Linked DNA regions of Saccharomyces cerevisiae S288C. The gene in region 1 interacts genetically with each later gene. Each region holds a gene or a part of one and is shown in the gene's direction. Other genes may lie near its edges. The genes, in order: REV1, SIC1, RAD54 and RAD5.

The links.
Region 2: mutations in REV1 (region 1) and SIC1 together harm fitness more than expected from each alone (negative genetic interaction), as found in Saccharomyces cerevisiae (4 studies listed by BioGRID, with this or other methods).
Region 3: mutations in REV1 (region 1) and RAD54 together harm fitness more than expected from each alone (negative genetic interaction), as found in Saccharomyces cerevisiae (6 studies listed by BioGRID, with this or other methods).
Region 4: mutations in REV1 (region 1) and RAD5 impair growth when combined (synthetic growth defect), as found in Saccharomyces cerevisiae (5 studies listed by BioGRID, with this or other methods).

What each region holds. Positions count from the first base shown.
Region 1 is NC_001147.6:980,063-985,299, forward strand, and holds REV1 (deoxycytidyl transferase), read left to right. Parts: upstream 1-1,765; coding exon 1,766-4,723; downstream 4,724-5,237. Other genes in the region: pyruvate kinase PYK2, read right to left, coding at 4,880-5,237. UniProt on the Saccharomyces cerevisiae protein: Deoxycytidyl transferase involved in DNA repair. Transfers a dCMP residue from dCTP to the 3'-end of a DNA primer in a template-dependent reaction.
Region 2 is NC_001144.5:284,961-288,211, forward strand, and holds SIC1 (cyclin-dependent protein serine/threonine kinase inhibiting protein SIC1), read left to right. Parts: upstream 1-1,859; coding exon 1,860-2,714; downstream 2,715-3,251. Other genes in the region: FMP25 (Fmp25p), read left to right, coding at 1-663; BOS1 (Bos1p), read right to left, coding at 776-1,507, 1,597-1,599; EMP46 (Emp46p), read left to right, coding at 2,956-3,251. UniProt on the Saccharomyces cerevisiae protein: Substrate and inhibitor of the cyclin-dependent protein kinase CDC28. Its activity could be important for faithful segregation of chromosomes to daughter cells. It acts in response to a signal from a post-start checkpoint.
Region 3 is NC_001139.9:193,177-198,312, reverse strand, and holds RAD54 (DNA-dependent ATPase RAD54), read left to right. Parts: upstream 1-1,909; coding exon 1,910-4,606; downstream 4,607-5,136. Other genes in the region: SUT1 (Sut1p), read right to left, coding at 1-175; YRB30 (Yrb30p), read left to right, coding at 5,013-5,136. UniProt on the Saccharomyces cerevisiae protein: Plays an essential role in homologous recombination (HR) which is a major pathway for repairing DNA double-strand breaks (DSBs), single-stranded DNA (ssDNA) gaps, and stalled or collapsed replication forks.
Region 4 is NC_001144.5:203,002-209,039, forward strand, and holds RAD5 (DNA helicase RAD5), read left to right. Parts: upstream 1-1,989; coding exon 1,990-5,499; downstream 5,500-6,038. Other genes in the region: YLR030W (uncharacterized protein), read left to right, coding at 289-1,080; YLR031W (uncharacterized protein), read left to right, coding at 1,224-1,784; RSC58 (Rsc58p), read left to right, coding at 5,760-6,038. UniProt on the Saccharomyces cerevisiae protein: Probable helicase, member of the UBC2/RAD6 epistasis group. Functions with the DNA repair protein RAD18 in error-free postreplication DNA repair.

The sequences.
Region 1 (5,237 bases):
ATGAACTTCAAGAATATGCTTATTTTACCCAATTATAGCTTTAATCATCAATAGGATCTTAAAAATTATTCTAATATCCACCGAATTTTCGAAAAGTATACTAATTTAAACATTTGGTGTAAGCGTTTAGGTTGCTAACGTAGCAGCAAACGTTGGTATCAATCACCACTTATTGCGCTACATTTCAACAATGTTCTTGAGAAATGGGTGAATGTTGAGATAATTGTTGGGATTCCATTGTTGATAAAGGCTATAATATTAGGTATACAGAATATACTAGAAGTTCTCCTCGAGGGTCTAGGAATCCCCATAATGGAATCTATATTTCTATATACCAATATTACGATTATTCCTCATTCCGTTTTATATGTTTCATTATCCTATTACATTATCAATCCTTGCACTTCAGCTTCCTCTAACTTCGATGACAGCTTCTCATAACTTGTGTCATCATCTTAACACCGTATATGATAATATATTGATAGTATAACTATTAGTTGATAGACGATAGTGGATTTTTATTCCAACAGTTCTCTTCAACCATTCGTTTTTGGGACTGAGGAAAATGAATATAAAATTATAATACTTCATCTTGAACTTTGAGAAATCACAAATTGTATGGGCGTGTGGTCTAGTGGAATGATTCTCGCTTTGGGCGATCCCCCTGATCAAACAGGAGGAACAAAGCATGCGAGAGGCCCTGGGTTCAATTCCCAGCTCGCCCCTTTTTTTGCAACTTCGTTTTAGACAGTTACTTAATTTTGTTTCTTAGGCACAACAATATTTATAAAAGAAGAATGTAAGTATGACGACGAAAACGAAAAGACTAATAGTTTCATATAATACTAAACGATTTCAATTTTCGTTTTATATCCTTCCTATTCATAAATTTTATTTCGCTATGCCAATAATGAGTGGATGTATAGTTGATATCTGTTTCGATAATTTTAAAGTAGATAGTAAAATCTTACTGACATGAATAATCCGTCCAAAACTAGATTACTGTATACAAGCATATTTAAAAAAATAATGAAACTATGATCAAAAAACTGTGCTACTACAGCGGTGTTGTTATCCGATACAACCGGATATTTTTCTTTTAATGAGTCTAAACCGTGATAGCTTCAGGTTAATACAATCAAAAAAAGCTCAAATATTCTTTTAATGCCGCGTTCACAGATTCCAATTGAATACAACTAGGTAGTTCATTATATGAAGCCTTTGCTACTATTTTTCACTATAGTCTGCCTTCACCTTAATGCAGACATCCACATATTTTAATCACTTTAAAATAAAAAGGAAGATATATTAGAAGCTATGATCCAATCTGTAAGCCAGATTAAAATTCACGAACTCTTCTTTCATTTGAATTGAATGCTTTGAGTTGGGGTAGATTATCGCAAATTACTCATCACATTTATTGACTACGAACTTGCTGATGTCCTTTTTTTATTTATATTTTTCTTCAGTGAAGCGATTTTTTTTTTACACAGACCAAGACGGAAAAAAGTAGCTAAGGAAGAAAACAAAATCATGAAAAAAATGTGAAGTGATCATGCACATCGCATCAACTTAAACATTGGCTTAGAGATATATAGAGTTAGAGTTTACGGCAACCTTTAAGCACCAATACCTTTTGGCATAGTCTAAAGACCTGGTTCTTAATTTTAAACAAATTTAACTAAAGATTTCCCTATCAAAGAAGTAACGAGTTGACAGATTTTCTCAAAATAAATCGATACTGCATTTCTAGGCATATCCAGCGATGGGTGAACATGGTGGTCTTGTAGATTTATTGGACAGCGATTTGGAATACTCTATAAATAGGGAAACACCTGATAAAAACAATTGCCTTAGCCAGCAAAGTGTCAATGATTCACATTTAACAGCAAAGACCGGCGGCTTGAATGCAAGGTCTTTTCTATCTACGTTAAGCGATGATTCCTTAATTGAATATGTCAACCAACTCTCCCAAACTAATAAGAATAATTCTAATCCAACTGCAGGTACTTTAAGATTTACTACTAAAAATATTAGCTGTGATGAATTACATGCTGATCTTGGCGGTGGCGAAGATTCACCTATAGCTCGTAGCGTCATCGAGATCCAGGAAAGTGATAGCAATGGTGATGATGTTAAAAAAAATACTGTGTATACTAGGGAGGCTTATTTCCACGAGAAGGCGCACGGACAAACCCTGCAAGATCAAATATTAAAAGATCAATATAAAGATCAAATTTCTAGTCAAAGCAGTAAAATATTCAAAAATTGCGTCATCTATATAAATGGCTACACCAAACCTGGAAGACTGCAATTACACGAGATGATAGTTTTACATGGCGGAAAATTTTTACACTATTTGTCTTCAAAGAAAACGGTTACTCACATAGTGGCTTCCAATTTACCATTAAAGAAAAGGATTGAATTTGCAAATTACAAAGTAGTCAGTCCGGATTGGATAGTTGATAGCGTCAAAGAAGCAAGATTATTGCCCTGGCAAAATTACTCGTTAACATCTAAACTTGATGAACAGCAAAAAAAACTAGATAATTGTAAAACCGTAAATTCAATTCCATTGCCCTCAGAGACTAGCCTGCACAAAGGATCTAAATGTGTAGGGTCGGCATTGTTGCCAGTAGAACAGCAGTCACCAGTAAATCTCAATAATTTGGAGGCGAAAAGGATAGTCGCTTGTGATGATCCTGATTTCCTTACTTCCTATTTTGCTCATTCGAGATTACATCATCTCTCCGCATGGAAGGCCAATCTGAAAGATAAATTTCTGAATGAAAACATCCACAAGTACACCAAAATTACGGATAAGGATACCTACATTATCTTTCATATCGATTTTGACTGTTTTTTTGCAACTGTTGCGTATCTATGTAGAAGTTCTAGTTTCTCAGCATGTGATTTTAAACGGGATCCTATAGTGGTATGCCATGGTACTAAAAACTCCGATATAGCTAGTTGCAATTATGTAGCAAGGTCATATGGGATTAAAAATGGAATGTGGGTGTCTCAAGCTGAAAAGATGTTGCCAAATGGGATCAAACTAATATCATTACCATATACCTTTGAGCAATTTCAATTAAAATCGGAAGCCTTTTACAGTACTCTCAAAAGATTGAACATATTCAATTTGATTTTACCTATATCTATTGATGAAGCTGTTTGTGTGAGGATAATCCCTGATAATATTCATAACACTAATACCTTAAATGCAAGACTGTGCGAAGAAATACGCCAAGAAATTTTTCAAGGAACGAATGGTTGCACAGTGAGCATTGGATGTTCCGATTCTCTTGTGTTAGCAAGACTAGCTCTCAAAATGGCGAAACCAAATGGTTACAATATCACGTTTAAGAGTAACCTATCTGAAGAATTCTGGTCTAGTTTCAAACTAGATGATCTGCCTGGAGTTGGGCATTCTACTCTGTCAAGGTTAGAATCAACGTTTGATAGCCCACATTCTTTAAATGACTTGAGAAAAAGATATACTTTAGATGCTTTGAAGGCGAGCGTCGGCTCTAAGTTAGGTATGAAGATTCATCTCGCGTTACAAGGCCAAGATGATGAAGAAAGCTTGAAAATACTGTACGATCCCAAAGAAGTCTTACAAAGAAAATCATTATCAATTGATATCAATTGGGGAATCAGATTTAAAAATATCACTCAGGTAGACTTGTTCATAGAAAGAGGTTGTCAGTATCTTTTAGAAAAATTGAATGAAATAAACAAAACAACGTCACAAATCACATTAAAACTGATGAGAAGATGTAAAGACGCTCCAATTGAACCCCCAAAATATATGGGGATGGGAAGGTGCGACTCATTCAGTCGGAGCAGCAGATTAGGTATTCCAACAAACGAATTTGGAATTATTGCTACCGAAATGAAAAGTTTGTATCGAACTTTGGGCTGCCCTCCAATGGAATTAAGAGGTCTTGCTCTACAATTCAACAAATTGGTTGATGTGGGTCCGGATAACAATCAGCTGAAACTGAGGTTACCGTTTAAAACAATAGTGACGAACAGAGCTTTCGAAGCCTTACCGGAAGATGTAAAAAATGACATTAACAACGAGTTCGAGAAAAGAAATTATAAGAGAAAAGAATCCGGGTTGACTTCAAACTCATTGAGCTCTAAAAAAAAAGGATTTGCCATTTCCAGATTAGAAGTAAATGATTTGCCCAGTACTATGGAAGAACAGTTTATGAATGAACTACCAACCCAAATTCGAGCAGAAGTAAGGCACGACTTGAGAATTCAGAAAAAAATCCAACAGACAAAGTTAGGAAACCTACAAGAAAAGATAAAAAGGAGAGAAGAGAGCCTACAGAACGAGAAAAATCATTTCATGGGCCAAAATAGTATATTCCAGCCGATCAAATTCCAAAATCTGACACGGTTCAAAAAAATTTGTCAATTAGTGAAACAATGGGTTGCCGAAACTTTAGGTGATGGAGGGCCGCATGAAAAAGATGTTAAATTATTCGTGAAATATTTGATTAAACTTTGCGATTCTAATAGAGTCCATTTAGTTCTTCATTTATCAAACCTAATATCAAGGGAATTAAATCTCTGCGCCTTTTTAAATCAGGATCATTCAGGCTTCCAAACGTGGGAAAGAATTTTACTCAATGATATAATTCCACTTTTAAACAGAAATAAACATACTTACCAGACTGTGCGTAAACTTGACATGGACTTTGAAGTTTGAATTAAAAAAAAAAAAACATTTCAGCATACAGTAAACACGCAGTTTGCGAACATTACCTGTAATATCTGCATGATTATTACCAAAGAAAAAAAAAATAACTGACACAATGGACAATTAAATAAAATTAAGTAAAAAAAATAAGGACTTTAATTTTTACTAGAATTCTTGACCAACAGTAGAAATGCGTAAGGTATTGGAATGGCCGACTCCTCCTTTGAATCCTTGAATGGAAACAACAGTATCACCGTTGTCCACCATTCCGAAAGACCTCGCCATTTCAACACCAAACTTTAGGCGCCTATGAACATCCTCACCCCAGTCGTCTAGGCGTTTCGGTTCATACAGAAATGGGAAAACACCTCTATACAAATGCGCAATTCTTGCCGTTCTTGCGTGTCTTGTTACTAATATGATAGGGCAGCTTGGTCTATACTTCGACAGTAGCCTTGCCGTGTTCCCTGTAGTAGATAATACAACGATGGCCTTACCATCTTGCTCCAAGATTGCTGCGGTA
Region 2 (3,251 bases), on another chromosome or scaffold:
GAAGGAGAAGACGTTGTCCGCAAAAGAGAAATTAAAAAGATAGCTTGCGGGTCGTACCATACACTGGCAATAGATAAGACTGGTGAAATTTATGCCTTTGGCTGGAATAGGTTCGGCCAATTGGCACTACCTATTTCGTACAATCTAGAATATGTTTCTTTCCCAAGATCGGTAACGCATGCATTTAAACCGCATTTCCCGGGGATGACGAATTGGAAATGTGTGGATATTCATTGTGATGATGAAACATCGTTTGTGACCATTCGTAAGCCTGGCTCAACGTCAGACCATCATTATTTCGCGTTTGGTAATGGACTTTTTGGTGAATTGGGCAACAACACTTTCAAGAACTCGCAATGTGATCCCATAAAAATCAAGTCGGATGACAAGAAATTGACCAACTGGAGTTGCGGCTCTCATTGTGTGTTCACTGAAACTGAACAAGAAAACGAGGTCATTGCATGGGGTAATAACGACCATGGCCAACTAGGTATTGGAAAGAAAACTATGAAATGCGCTAAGCCAATGAACATTCCCGAAGTTCTCAAACCAGGACAAGACACGACAGATTTGGACTCAATTTATAACAGTAAATTACACTTAAAAAAGGAGCAACGTGTAGTCACCAATGGTAATAAAAGTTGCTTATACTGGCGGGTTTGAGAAACGAAAGAGCATAGAAGGAAAGTAGCGAGATTCGCGATGTTTTTTCAACCCTTATAATGATGCATGTATATATGGTATGTTTATTTATATATAGAACTCACGGTTACTTCTATCTTAACCATTTCAACACATAATAAATACCTATGATCAAGAGAATTAACGCGATCCAAAAGACTAGTTTATCTTTGAACACCCGTTTATTGATAGAGGTGATAGTTTGTTCCGAAACACCCAATGTTCTTAGGCCATTTGACATTCTATCTTGTACCTTGGATAAAATTTTGTTTTGTTCCACTATATTTTCGAATGATTGTTGGCCCATTTCTAGAATGTAATCTAATTGAGCGTTACCCCTTTCGAAAACAGACTGTTCCTTTTGTAGCCCTTGGTACAACGGTAGTCCCCCACCGTTGCTAGAGCCCTCTTTACCATTTGCACTCGCACCACCAACGTTCCTTTTATTCATGATGGTCTCTGATGTACTAAAGGGGTTATCGGAGTCCATAACATGCGATGCTCCTGAGCCAAACAACTGAGTTCTGGAATTATTTTCGTTGTAGGATTGTTTTAAATCCTTAAACTTGGCAGTAAAGTCGTGCAGATCCTGTGTTAAAGTTGCTAGTCGATTAGCGAACTTAGGATCAATTTCCTCTGCATTAGTATCTTCTTTATATCTGTTTAAATGTTCTGCATATTGCTTAACTGTTTTCTCCAGTGAGACCAGAGTTGCAGAGATGGACCCTTGTAAAGAAATAGGGGCGGTCACAGAATTCTTTTCAAACCTGGCCAACTCTTGTTGTAGTTGATTTTTTTGCTTCACAGCATGGTTGTAAAGAGCGTTCTATTTGATGGTAGTAGCAAAATACCCTGTTAGTATTACATCTTGTTTTAGCAATAATGAGAAAAGATGCCTCCGGCGATCAAACATACCATTCCCCCCTCAAATCAATATGATTAAGTCACGATAATATCTGCACTATTGCCGTGTTTCCTTCTCCATCGACAGCGTCGATCCTGTCTATTATAGCCAGCACACTGAAAATTTCAATGGCTGGCTTGTTGTTCGCGTCGCAACTTTTGATATTTATAAAAAGAGAGAAGGCATATCCAAAGGATAAGGTATTGTCTTTGTAAATCAATCAACCAAACCTCTACGGAATTTTGACCCTTGAAGCAGGGACTATTACACGAAAATGACTCCTTCCACCCCACCAAGGTCCAGAGGGACTAGGTACCTTGCGCAGCCTAGTGGCAATACTAGTTCTAGTGCCCTAATGCAAGGTCAAAAGACCCCCCAAAAGCCTTCACAGAACCTAGTCCCTGTCACTCCCTCAACAACTAAGTCTTTTAAAAATGCGCCATTATTAGCACCTCCCAATTCGAACATGGGTATGACCTCTCCATTTAATGGGCTTACGTCTCCTCAACGCTCGCCGTTTCCAAAATCTTCAGTGAAGAGGACACTATTCCAATTTGAAAGTCATGATAATGGAACAGTAAGGGAAGAGCAGGAACCATTGGGTCGTGTAAATAGGATATTGTTTCCCACGCAGCAAAATGTGGATATAGATGCAGCAGAAGAAGAAGAAGAAGGAGAAGTTCTTCTTCCCCCCAGCAGACCTACATCTGCCAGGCAGTTACATTTATCACTTGAAAGAGATGAGTTTGATCAGACACATAGAAAGAAGATTATTAAAGATGTACCTGGTACGCCCAGCGACAAGGTGATAACATTTGAATTGGCAAAAAATTGGAACAACAACTCTCCGAAAAATGACGCCAGGAGTCAAGAAAGTGAAGACGAGGAAGACATCATCATCAATCCAGTGCGGGTGGGTAAAAATCCCTTTGCATCAGATGAACTGGTCACTCAGGAAATTAGAAATGAACGTAAAAGGGCAATGTTGAGAGAAAACCCAGATATAGAAGACGTAATAACATATGTCAATAAGAAGGGAGAGGTGGTAGAGAAACGAAGGTTAACGGATGAAGAAAAGAGAAGATTCAAGCCAAAGGCATTGTTTCAATCTAGGGATCAAGAGCATTGAAGAAATGAAAAAAAAAAGTTTCTGGAACGATTATATTTTATTTACTTACTTATTCTACATTTATTTGCAAAGGGGCATTAACATCAACATTTTACATATTATAATATATACAGGATATTCTATATTACAACATTAACAGGATTTTTAACTTTTCCTTACCGTATTCTTTTATTCTGGTTTTCTGTCTTCAGAATAATAGCATATTTCATTGTAGTATTTCGTCAAAGCGAGTTAGGGGAGGATGACTACAAGAAAGACAGCTTCCTCTCTTCAGCTTTTAGGGAAAATCACAGGAACAAAAGCTGGAACTAAGCAAAAGAAGATGAATTTCATTAATGGACTGATATGGTTATATATGTGTGTGTGGATGGTACACGGAAAAGTGACGCAGAAGGATGAATTGAAATGGAATAAAGGATACTCGCTACCAAATTTGCTAGAAGTGACAGATCAGCAAAAAGAACTTTCACAATGGACTTTGGGTGACAAAGTAAAACTTGAAGAAGGGAGGTTTGTTTTAACTCCTGGAAAGAACAC
Region 3 (5,136 bases), on another chromosome or scaffold:
CGTCAGTCGGAAAAGCCCGCTTCCTCGTCCAAGTGGTCGACAAGAGTTCTGGATCGGTGATGCCCACATTTTGGGTGCCTTTACGCCGTATATCTTTTTCTAGCAGGGAAACATTGGGGAGCAATAGCGGTGGTAGCGATCGATCTCTATTTCTTACTGTAATGCTTGTGGACATCTTCTTTTGACATACGATGACCTCAATGATTTAGATTATGTGTTGCACTTTTATAGACCTACCAAAAATCCAGTGCGTACACTAATACTTTCATAAAGATACCTGAAACAATAACCAGAAAGATCGGCAAAAAAATTTTTTTTCTTTGCCGAGATCACAAACCTACTATGACGAAAAAGCTTGAAGTTTAGATGAGTAAGGAAAATACAAGTGACGCTTTTATATGGTGCAAGGAACAAAAACTAAAAACAACAAGGCAAATGTGGATCTGTCATGTATGGCAACGACAGCAGGATGGCTCACAAAAAAAGACAAAAAAAACTAAGGCAAAAGAACAAAGCTCCTCTCCTGCTCAAGAAACGTATTGTTGAAAAACCACCGTCGTAAGAAAGTTTTTCTGTGACCTATAATGGTTTAAAATCGGCCCATTTTTTTTCCCTCTTTTGTGGTCCAGTCTTTCTCATACTCGAGGGAAATTCGACACAAACAGCGGAGAAGTGTGGCTAAACCGGCAAGTGCCTGCAAGATCCACAGAACTAACCGCACGAACTGGCGGTCAGAAAAGAGCCTGTTCCGGAAAGAGAGAAACAGAGAAACGATCATGATGGGAAAGCGGGGATTCGGCGAAGAACGAGACTGGAAAGGGAAAAAGAGAAATACTGGTGGAAGTATTCGGACCTTTGGCGAAGTCCGAACCCTTGAAACCCAAAGATGATCGATGATTCATTTTTCAATGCGCTACGGTTCCTGCCGCTCGTGGGAACCCCACGCAAAACATATTATTCGCTTCTCTCTGCTGACAACTCCGGTTTACGTTATACCGTATTAGGATCACTATAAGGGTTCCTTCGGGAGGAGGGGGGAGGGGAAGAATGTACATCGTCATAAGGCCTTTATGGTGTGAAGTGGGTTTTGCGTGGAAAATTCGTTTTCAATGATATAGAGCCCACGCATATACGTACATACTAGTGGCCAAAAGCGTGGGGTGGGCGGACAAAGCTACACTGGTAAAATACAGGATTCTATGAACAATAACAACAACCAGCTCACGTTGCTGAACAGCCGAGGTCAGCCGATGCAACCGAGGTTTCCAAAGTAGCATTTCTGTGCTAGCTATGTCTGTAGGTTTACATTTAATGGTGCGTGGTTCCAGCTTCATGTGCTTGCATGTGATGTCCTGCAGATGGTAAGAAGATTCTGAAAGCCGCGCTAGGAGAAAAATATTCTGCTCGAAGATCTGTCCTCTTAAGTAGAAAGCGTGAAATTGTTGCGTTCTTGCATTACTACTCAACGCGTACGCAAATGCGTCTACTGCACCTGCATGATAAAGCTTATGTATCAAAAATTTAACATCTTGAAAATACACAAGTGGTGCAAAGATGTGTCACGTTCTGGACCTGAGTGGTGCCATGTATGCTATTTAACATGCAAAGGGGAAGACCCTTCCGCCTTACTGCAATAATAAAAAGTATTTTACGCGTTACCCAATATAGCAAAGTTTCGCGCAAAAAAAAAAATAAAAAACAATTACAAACAAAAAGAAAAAAAAGGAAATAATAGAAGATCTAACTGAAGCGAAGGCCAAAACTCTTCTCACTTGACGTAATAGCCGATACAAAATCTAGAGCAGCAACTTTTCTCTTTCTTCACTAAAGCTGCTACGAAAGTATAGAAAAATCAAACGCTCAGAACTTAGCTCTATTTCAAGGTACCATATATATTTCCTTATAACTGATGGCAAGACGCAGATTACCAGACAGACCACCAAATGGAATAGGAGCCGGTGAACGGCCGAGACTGGTACCTAGGCCTATTAACGTACAAGACTCGGTGAACCGACTAACGAAACCGTTCAGGGTCCCGTACAAGAACACGCACATCCCGCCCGCTGCTGGTAGAATCGCCACCGGGTCTGATAATATCGTAGGAGGAAGGAGCTTGAGGAAAAGATCAGCGACTGTATGTTATTCCGGCTTGGATATAAATGCGGACGAAGCAGAGTACAACAGCCAAGACATAAGTTTTTCTCAGTTGACTAAACGACGGAAGGATGCTCTTAGTGCTCAAAGGTTGGCCAAGGATCCGACAAGACTGAGTCATATCCAGTACACTTTGAGAAGATCTTTCACTGTGCCAATCAAGGGATATGTACAAAGACACAGTCTGCCATTAACGTTAGGAATGAAAAAAAAAATTACTCCAGAACCTCGACCTCTACATGACCCTACAGACGAATTTGCCATAGTGCTTTATGACCCGTCCGTTGACGGTGAAATGATTGTCCATGACACATCTATGGATAACAAGGAAGAAGAATCAAAGAAAATGATCAAAAGCACACAGGAAAAGGATAATATTAACAAGGAAAAGAATAGCCAGGAAGAAAGACCCACACAAAGAATAGGACGCCATCCAGCTTTGATGACAAATGGTGTGAGAAACAAACCGTTACGTGAGCTACTCGGTGATTCGGAAAACTCTGCGGAAAACAAGAAGAAATTTGCTAGTGTCCCTGTGGTTATTGATCCAAAACTGGCCAAGATTTTAAGACCCCATCAAGTCGAAGGGGTGAGATTCTTATACCGTTGTGTCACAGGGCTTGTCATGAAAGATTACTTAGAAGCTGAGGCGTTCAACACTTCAAGCGAAGATCCCTTAAAGAGCGACGAGAAGGCACTTACTGAATCTCAAAAGACTGAACAAAACAATAGAGGGGCCTACGGCTGCATCATGGCCGATGAAATGGGGCTGGGTAAGACATTGCAGTGTATAGCACTTATGTGGACATTATTAAGACAGGGCCCGCAGGGTAAAAGACTTATCGACAAATGTATCATTGTTTGTCCATCTTCTTTAGTCAACAACTGGGCTAATGAATTGATAAAATGGTTGGGTCCCAATACTCTAACTCCGTTAGCGGTTGATGGGAAAAAATCTTCAATGGGTGGTGGTAATACAACAGTTTCGCAAGCTATTCATGCCTGGGCTCAGGCACAGGGAAGAAATATTGTTAAGCCCGTTTTAATCATATCGTATGAAACATTACGTCGAAATGTTGATCAATTGAAAAACTGCAATGTGGGTTTAATGCTGGCAGATGAAGGGCACCGTTTGAAAAACGGTGACTCTTTAACATTCACAGCTTTGGATAGCATCAGTTGTCCTAGAAGAGTTATATTATCTGGTACACCCATTCAAAACGATCTTTCCGAATATTTTGCTCTACTGAGTTTTTCGAATCCTGGCTTATTAGGTTCCAGAGCAGAATTTAGGAAAAATTTTGAGAATCCAATTTTGCGAGGGCGTGATGCTGATGCTACTGATAAAGAAATCACAAAGGGCGAGGCGCAATTACAGAAGCTATCTACCATTGTCTCCAAATTTATTATCCGTCGTACTAACGATATTTTGGCCAAATATTTGCCTTGCAAGTATGAGCACGTTATTTTCGTAAACTTGAAGCCGTTGCAGAACGAGCTCTACAATAAATTAATTAAGTCAAGAGAAGTGAAAAAAGTAGTAAAAGGTGTTGGTGGGTCTCAGCCCCTGAGGGCTATTGGTATTTTAAAGAAGCTATGTAATCACCCTAATCTCTTGAATTTTGAAGATGAATTTGACGATGAAGATGATTTGGAACTACCTGACGATTATAATATGCCGGGTTCAAAAGCCAGGGACGTACAAACAAAATATTCAGCTAAATTTTCCATTTTGGAAAGATTTCTCCATAAGATAAAGACCGAATCCGATGATAAGATTGTTTTGATCTCCAACTATACCCAAACCTTGGACCTCATTGAAAAAATGTGTAGATATAAGCACTACAGTGCTGTACGGTTGGATGGTACAATGTCAATTAACAAAAGACAAAAATTGGTGGATAGGTTCAACGATCCTGAAGGCCAAGAGTTCATCTTCCTCTTAAGTTCTAAAGCAGGTGGGTGTGGTATCAATTTGATTGGTGCAAATCGATTAATTTTGATGGATCCGGATTGGAATCCTGCTGCTGATCAACAAGCTTTGGCACGTGTTTGGAGAGACGGTCAAAAAAAGGATTGTTTCATTTACAGATTCATATCGACTGGTACCATAGAGGAAAAAATCTTTCAAAGACAATCTATGAAAATGAGTTTGAGTTCATGCGTGGTCGATGCGAAAGAAGACGTTGAAAGGTTGTTTAGTTCTGACAATTTAAGACAGTTGTTTCAAAAAAATGAGAATACGATATGTGAAACACACGAAACATACCATTGTAAACGTTGTAATGCTCAGGGTAAACAATTAAAGAGAGCCCCTGCAATGTTATATGGTGATGCGACAACTTGGAATCATTTGAACCATGACGCATTGGAAAAAACAAATGATCATCTACTAAAAAACGAGCATCATTACAATGATATCAGTTTTGCATTTCAATATATTTCACATTGATCTCTTACATACATGTACTTATAAAACAAAAACAAAAAGTAGAATTCGATCGTCGGGGGGTCATTACATATTTATTTTAAATGATGGGCATGGTTATATATATTTAGACGTAATAAACAATTGAAAATTGGGGCCAAATTGGTAAATATCTCTATGTATTTCAATCAAAAAAGTATAATCGTATAACTTAAGGGTAAAAAAAGTTGAGCGATGTCATATTATACTTGTGCTAGCTTTTAAATTTTTCATTATCTTCAGTTTTATCGTGGTAAAGTGCCAGCCGAAACTGCCAAAAAAGATTATGGCAAGAAAATCTCACGCTGTCAGGGAAATAAAAATCTGATACAGTTTCACACTCTCAGAAGGATTAACTTTAACTATTACCTAACACCAATATCTGAAGAGAATGGATGAAATTCTTGCCAAAGCAGGTTCACAAGCCGTTACATTTGCTATAAAATCCGGAATATCGATAGCATCCACATATGCGCTAAAGACAATAACGAACTTTGTCGTCCAGATTCCTAAGG
Region 4 (6,038 bases), on another chromosome or scaffold:
GTAGGGTGCGAGTCCATCTCATTCTTGCCCAATAAATTTTAGAAACACCCTCTTATGAAGGGCGGCAAAACATATTAAGTAAGTGTCGATTGTTAAACACTTCCCCTTTTTTTATGCATAGTAAAAGGTACAAAGAAAATAGCGTACCGTCCTTAAATCAATATAGAAATATAATGAAAAAATAAGTGCTTTGATAAGAATATCTTGAATACAAATTAAGAAGTGTATATTTATAGATATTTTCGTTTCAGCTTGTGTCTGTGTGTGGCCTTATATGTAATATATGAGATGGAAGGTGAACAAATTATGGAGTATGTTCAAGAGACACCGATCATTCCAAAAAGGATTATCCATTATTCGATTCCAAAACAAATGATCACAAAGCCCGCTCCCCATGTCGAGATGACGTTGGTAGCTAATACTTTTCGGGACATGGACTTGCCGCAGCATCCGGTTATCCATGATTGTTGGCAAAATAAAGAGTACTCAACTCAAAGATATTCAGGAAATGTGGCTCAACAGAGATTAAGTTTTGAGGAACATCCAAATGAAGAGTGTCAAAATTCTGTTGGGTTAATCAAGAGAGTGAGTACTTTCTTTAAAAAGAGGCCATTGTCTCGAAAGAATAGCATAAAGTCAATCGGTGACGTAAAATCGGAGGCACGTAACCGGGGAGAAGGCCTCCTGGGTGAAGTTGATAATCTTAACGAGCAGAATGTCCGAGAAAACCTGACTAGTGAACATGAAAAGAGTCCTGAAGGAGATTCCAAAAGGTATGGCCTGTTCTCCTTTGAAGAGACCCCCCCTATACAAGTGTTGGAGCAGGGCAATATCAATTCTGAGCTTTCTTCATTTAAAAACACTTCTTTGGCGGAAAACAAACGCTCTTCTGACAGCTTCGTTTCGTTAAAACCGGGTGAAGATGAACATAGCCCTTTAGAGATTAGTACGTGTGGTAATTTGACTGAAAGAGAGGATTTGCAATCTGGCGAAGAACGGTTTGACTCAGCAGCCCAAAATATAAAGGTAGCTTCGATGAAGGAAAAAAAAAAAATCTTCAAAGGGAACAAAACAGATTAATCACTGAGATTATACGCCTCGAAAACATACTAAATAAGCATAGGAAGGCTGAAGCTAAGAATAATATTAACAAACTTGAAAAGAAGTTGAGTGAAACAGATGGTTTTACATCTGTAAACACATCAGTTCCAGTAACTCCTATTATGCCGGTCTTAAATACGAGAACTTCTTATCCCAATATCGACTTTCATGGTACTAAGGTTTCTGATGTTCTAGATGCCTTTGAATTTGAAAAGCATGATGATCCCTTAAGGGATAAATGGAACACTTTACAGTTTTTGGAAAAGAGCTTTGAATCTAAATTTGAATCTGCATCAGAGTTAATCCAAGGAGGCGAGCTAGCTGCTATTAAAGAAAGAAATTTTCAATTAGCCAAACTAAATAATCTTTGCTTTCGGGTACGAGAGTCCATCAAAAGAAGACAAGACCTGGAGAAAAAGTTAAGAACTTTATCGCAGGACACTGACAACGAATTGCTTTTTCTGATGTTGGAAAATGAGAGAAGAAAGAAAAGTTCAGTGATAATAGAGTTTCTTTCTGAGATAATCAGAGAGAAATCCAAAAGATTAACTGCAGAAGAGCAAGGCTTTGTAAATCAAAATGAAGTAAAACCCCTCATTCTGGACCTTTCTGCACGGATAAATAGATTGAATTCTATTCTAGAAACAAAAAATACTTGTATTAGAAGATTAAGTAATCAATAAGTAGTTAAATTTTCATAAATTATTACTTTCTTACATGTTAGTTGGCGCGTCGTCTGGCTGAAAATTTTACGCGTCATAAACCCTTAACTTTTCCACACATTATTCCTTACTGCTAAGCGCATTGCTCACTTGAAAGTAAATTATCTACAAAGTTACATTATCAAAAGGCCTTAGAAACACACCTAAAGTCTTACAGTATCACAATATGAGTCATATTGAACAGGAAGAAAGGAAGAGGTTTTTTAACGATGACCTTGACACTTCAGAAACATCGTTAAACTTCAAATCTGAGAATAAAGAGTCGTTTTTATTTGCAAATAGTCATAATGATGATGATGATGATGTTGTTGTATCAGTGAGTGATACAACAGAAGGAGAGGGAGACCGATCTATTGTGCCAGTCAGGCGAGAAATAGAAGAAGAAGGCCAGAATCAGTTTATTACAGAGCTTTTAAGGATTATTCCAGAAATGCCAAAGGATCTTGTGATGGAACTTAATGAAAAATTCGGCAGTCAGGAGGAAGGGCTCTCTTTAGCATTATCACATTACTTTGATCACAATAGCGGGACGTCTATCAGCAAAATACCGTCTTCCCCGAATCAACTAAATACACTCTCAGATACCTCAAATTCAACCTTGTCCCCATCTTCATTCCATCCTAAAAGAAGAAGAATATACGGGTTCAGAAACCAAACACGATTAGAAGATAAAGTTACTTGGAAAAGATTTATAGGTGCTTTGCAAGTCACTGGTATGGCTACCAGACCCACCGTCAGGCCCTTGAAGTACGGCTCTCAGATGAAGCTAAAGAGATCAAGTGAAGAGATTTCTGCTACTAAAGTATATGACTCACGTGGTAGAAAGAAAGCGTCCATGGCTAGTTTGGTAAGAATTTTTGATATCCAATATGATAGAGAAATTGGCAGAGTTTCGGAAGACATTGCTCAAATACTATACCCTCTTTTAAGTTCACACGAAATAAGTTTTGAAGTTACATTGATTTTTTGTGATAATAAACGGTTGAGTATAGGTGATAGCTTTATTCTACAATTGGATTGCTTTTTAACATCTCTCATTTTTGAGGAACGTAATGATGGAGAATCCTTGATGAAAAGAAGACGTACAGAGGGAGGAAATAAAAGAGAGAAAGACAATGGAAATTTTGGAAGAACATTGACTGAAACTGATGAAGAGCTAGAAAGCCGCTCGAAAAGACTGGCTCTACTAAAGTTATTTGATAAATTGAGGCTAAAGCCTATTTTGGACGAGCAGAAGGCATTAGAAAAGCATAAAATAGAGCTTAATAGTGACCCCGAAATCATTGATTTAGATAACGACGAGATTTGCTCTAATCAAGTGACTGAAGTCCATAACAATCTCCGAGATACTCAGCACGAAGAAGAAACAATGAACTTGAATCAATTGAAAACATTTTATAAGGCCGCACAATCATCAGAATCTTTAAAAAGTTTGCCTGAAACAGAACCTTCTCGCGATGTCTTCAAGCTAGAACTAAGAAATTATCAAAAGCAAGGTCTTACTTGGATGCTAAGGAGGGAGCAAGAGTTTGCCAAAGCAGCCTCTGATGGTGAGGCTTCAGAAACGGGTGCTAATATGATAAACCCATTATGGAAGCAGTTCAAATGGCCAAATGATATGTCGTGGGCAGCTCAAAATTTGCAGCAGGACCATGTAAACGTTGAAGATGGCATATTCTTTTATGCGAACTTACATTCTGGTGAATTTTCGCTAGCAAAACCTATATTAAAAACTATGATAAAGGGTGGCATATTATCAGATGAAATGGGGTTGGGTAAAACAGTGGCAGCGTATTCTTTAGTTTTATCTTGTCCTCACGATAGTGATGTTGTTGACAAGAAACTGTTTGATATTGAGAACACAGCAGTCTCAGATAATCTTCCAAGCACTTGGCAAGATAATAAGAAACCATATGCTTCAAAAACAACGCTAATCGTGGTCCCAATGTCTTTGTTAACGCAGTGGAGTAACGAGTTTACAAAAGCTAATAATTCCCCCGATATGTATCATGAGGTGTATTATGGTGGGAATGTTTCCAGTTTGAAAACCCTATTAACCAAGACAAAAACCCCTCCAACTGTAGTCCTTACTACATATGGTATTGTTCAAAATGAATGGACTAAACATTCCAAGGGAAGGATGACAGATGAGGACGTCAATATATCTTCAGGCTTATTTTCTGTCAATTTTTATCGCATAATAATCGACGAGGGTCATAACATTAGAAACAGAACGACAGTTACATCTAAAGCAGTCATGGCTTTACAAGGCAAATGTAAATGGGTTTTAACAGGAACACCAATTATTAACAGGCTTGACGATTTATACAGTCTGGTTAAGTTTTTAGAGTTAGATCCCTGGCGGCAAATTAATTACTGGAAGACCTTTGTATCAACGCCTTTTGAGAGTAAAAATTACAAACAAGCATTTGATGTGGTGAATGCAATTCTGGAACCCGTATTGTTAAGAAGGACAAAACAAATGAAAGATAAAGATGGTAAGCCATTAGTAGAGTTGCCACCAAAGGAGGTCGTTATTAAAAGACTTCCCTTCAGTAAATCTCAAGATCTTCTATACAAGTTTCTGTTGGATAAGGCTGAAGTTTCTGTTAAATCGGGTATTGCACGCGGTGATTTATTGAAAAAGTACTCCACTATCCTTGTCCATATTTTAAGATTGAGGCAAGTCTGTTGCCATCCCGGTCTTATTGGGAGTCAAGATGAGAACGATGAGGATTTATCTAAAAATAATAAATTGGTTACGGAACAAACGGTGGAGCTTGACTCTTTAATGCGTGTTGTTTCCGAGAGATTCGATAACTCATTTTCTAAGGAGGAATTAGATGCAATGATACAAAGATTAAAAGTTAAATATCCAGACAATAAATCGTTTCAGTCCTTAGAGTGCTCCATCTGCACAACGGAACCTATGGATTTGGACAAGGCTTTATTTACAGAATGCGGCCACAGTTTTTGTGAGAAATGTTTATTTGAATATATTGAGTTTCAGAACAGTAAGAATTTGGGTTTAAAGTGCCCCAATTGCCGTAACCAAATAGACGCTTGTCGGTTGTTGGCATTGGTACAAACGAATAGCAACTCGAAAAATTTGGAATTCAAACCATATTCACCAGCCTCCAAATCAAGCAAAATCACTGCTTTATTGAAGGAGCTTCAATTGCTACAGGATAGTTCGGCAGGCGAACAAGTTGTCATTTTTTCCCAATTTTCTACATACTTGGATATCCTGGAGAAAGAGCTAACTCATACTTTCTCAAAAGATGTTGCAAAAATTTATAAATTCGATGGACGTCTCTCATTAAAAGAAAGAACTAGTGTATTAGCAGATTTTGCCGTTAAAGACTATAGCAGGCAAAAAATCCTATTACTCTCGCTGAAGGCTGGTGGCGTGGGTTTGAATCTAACGTGTGCTTCCCACGCTTATATGATGGACCCATGGTGGTCGCCCAGTATGGAAGATCAGGCAATCGATAGACTGCATAGAATTGGCCAGACAAACAGCGTCAAAGTTATGAGATTTATCATACAAGATAGCATAGAAGAAAAAATGCTACGCATTCAAGAAAAGAAGAGAACCATCGGTGAGGCCATGGACACAGACGAAGACGAGAGAAGAAAAAGGAGAATTGAAGAAATCCAGATGCTGTTTGAATAGTCATACCACATACTCATATATAAAGACTTTATTTATTATTATTTTCAACCCGAAAGAACTAATTATTCTTCAGCTACTTCATGCAACTTCTATTATCTTCCTTTTCCGTTACCCGTATTTTTAAGTTGCAATTATTAAAAAAACAATTAAGAAAATAAAACAGCGCCATAAGGCATGGACGATAGAAATACGAAGACGAAGAAAATCATCATCAGTCGGGATCAAATAAGAGATAATTTTGAAAATCGAAAGTTTTCATTATGACAGAAAGTGTAGGTGGAAATAAACTAGTAGATTTTTTGGTAAATGTTCAATCCATTTTGAATGCTGCCTCTGTGAAATGTCATGTAGTAGATGAAAGTTTTCCAGCCAAGTTCTTTGAGAAAAATCCGGATAAGATATATGAATCATATTGTAAATTCATTAAAAATAGAAGTAACTCTGAAGGTTTGATACGTAATGAAGATAAATTAGTTTTGACAACTATCAATAAGAGGTTTGAAAATGGAGAGTACGAACCCATACAAGGTGGGTTTTAT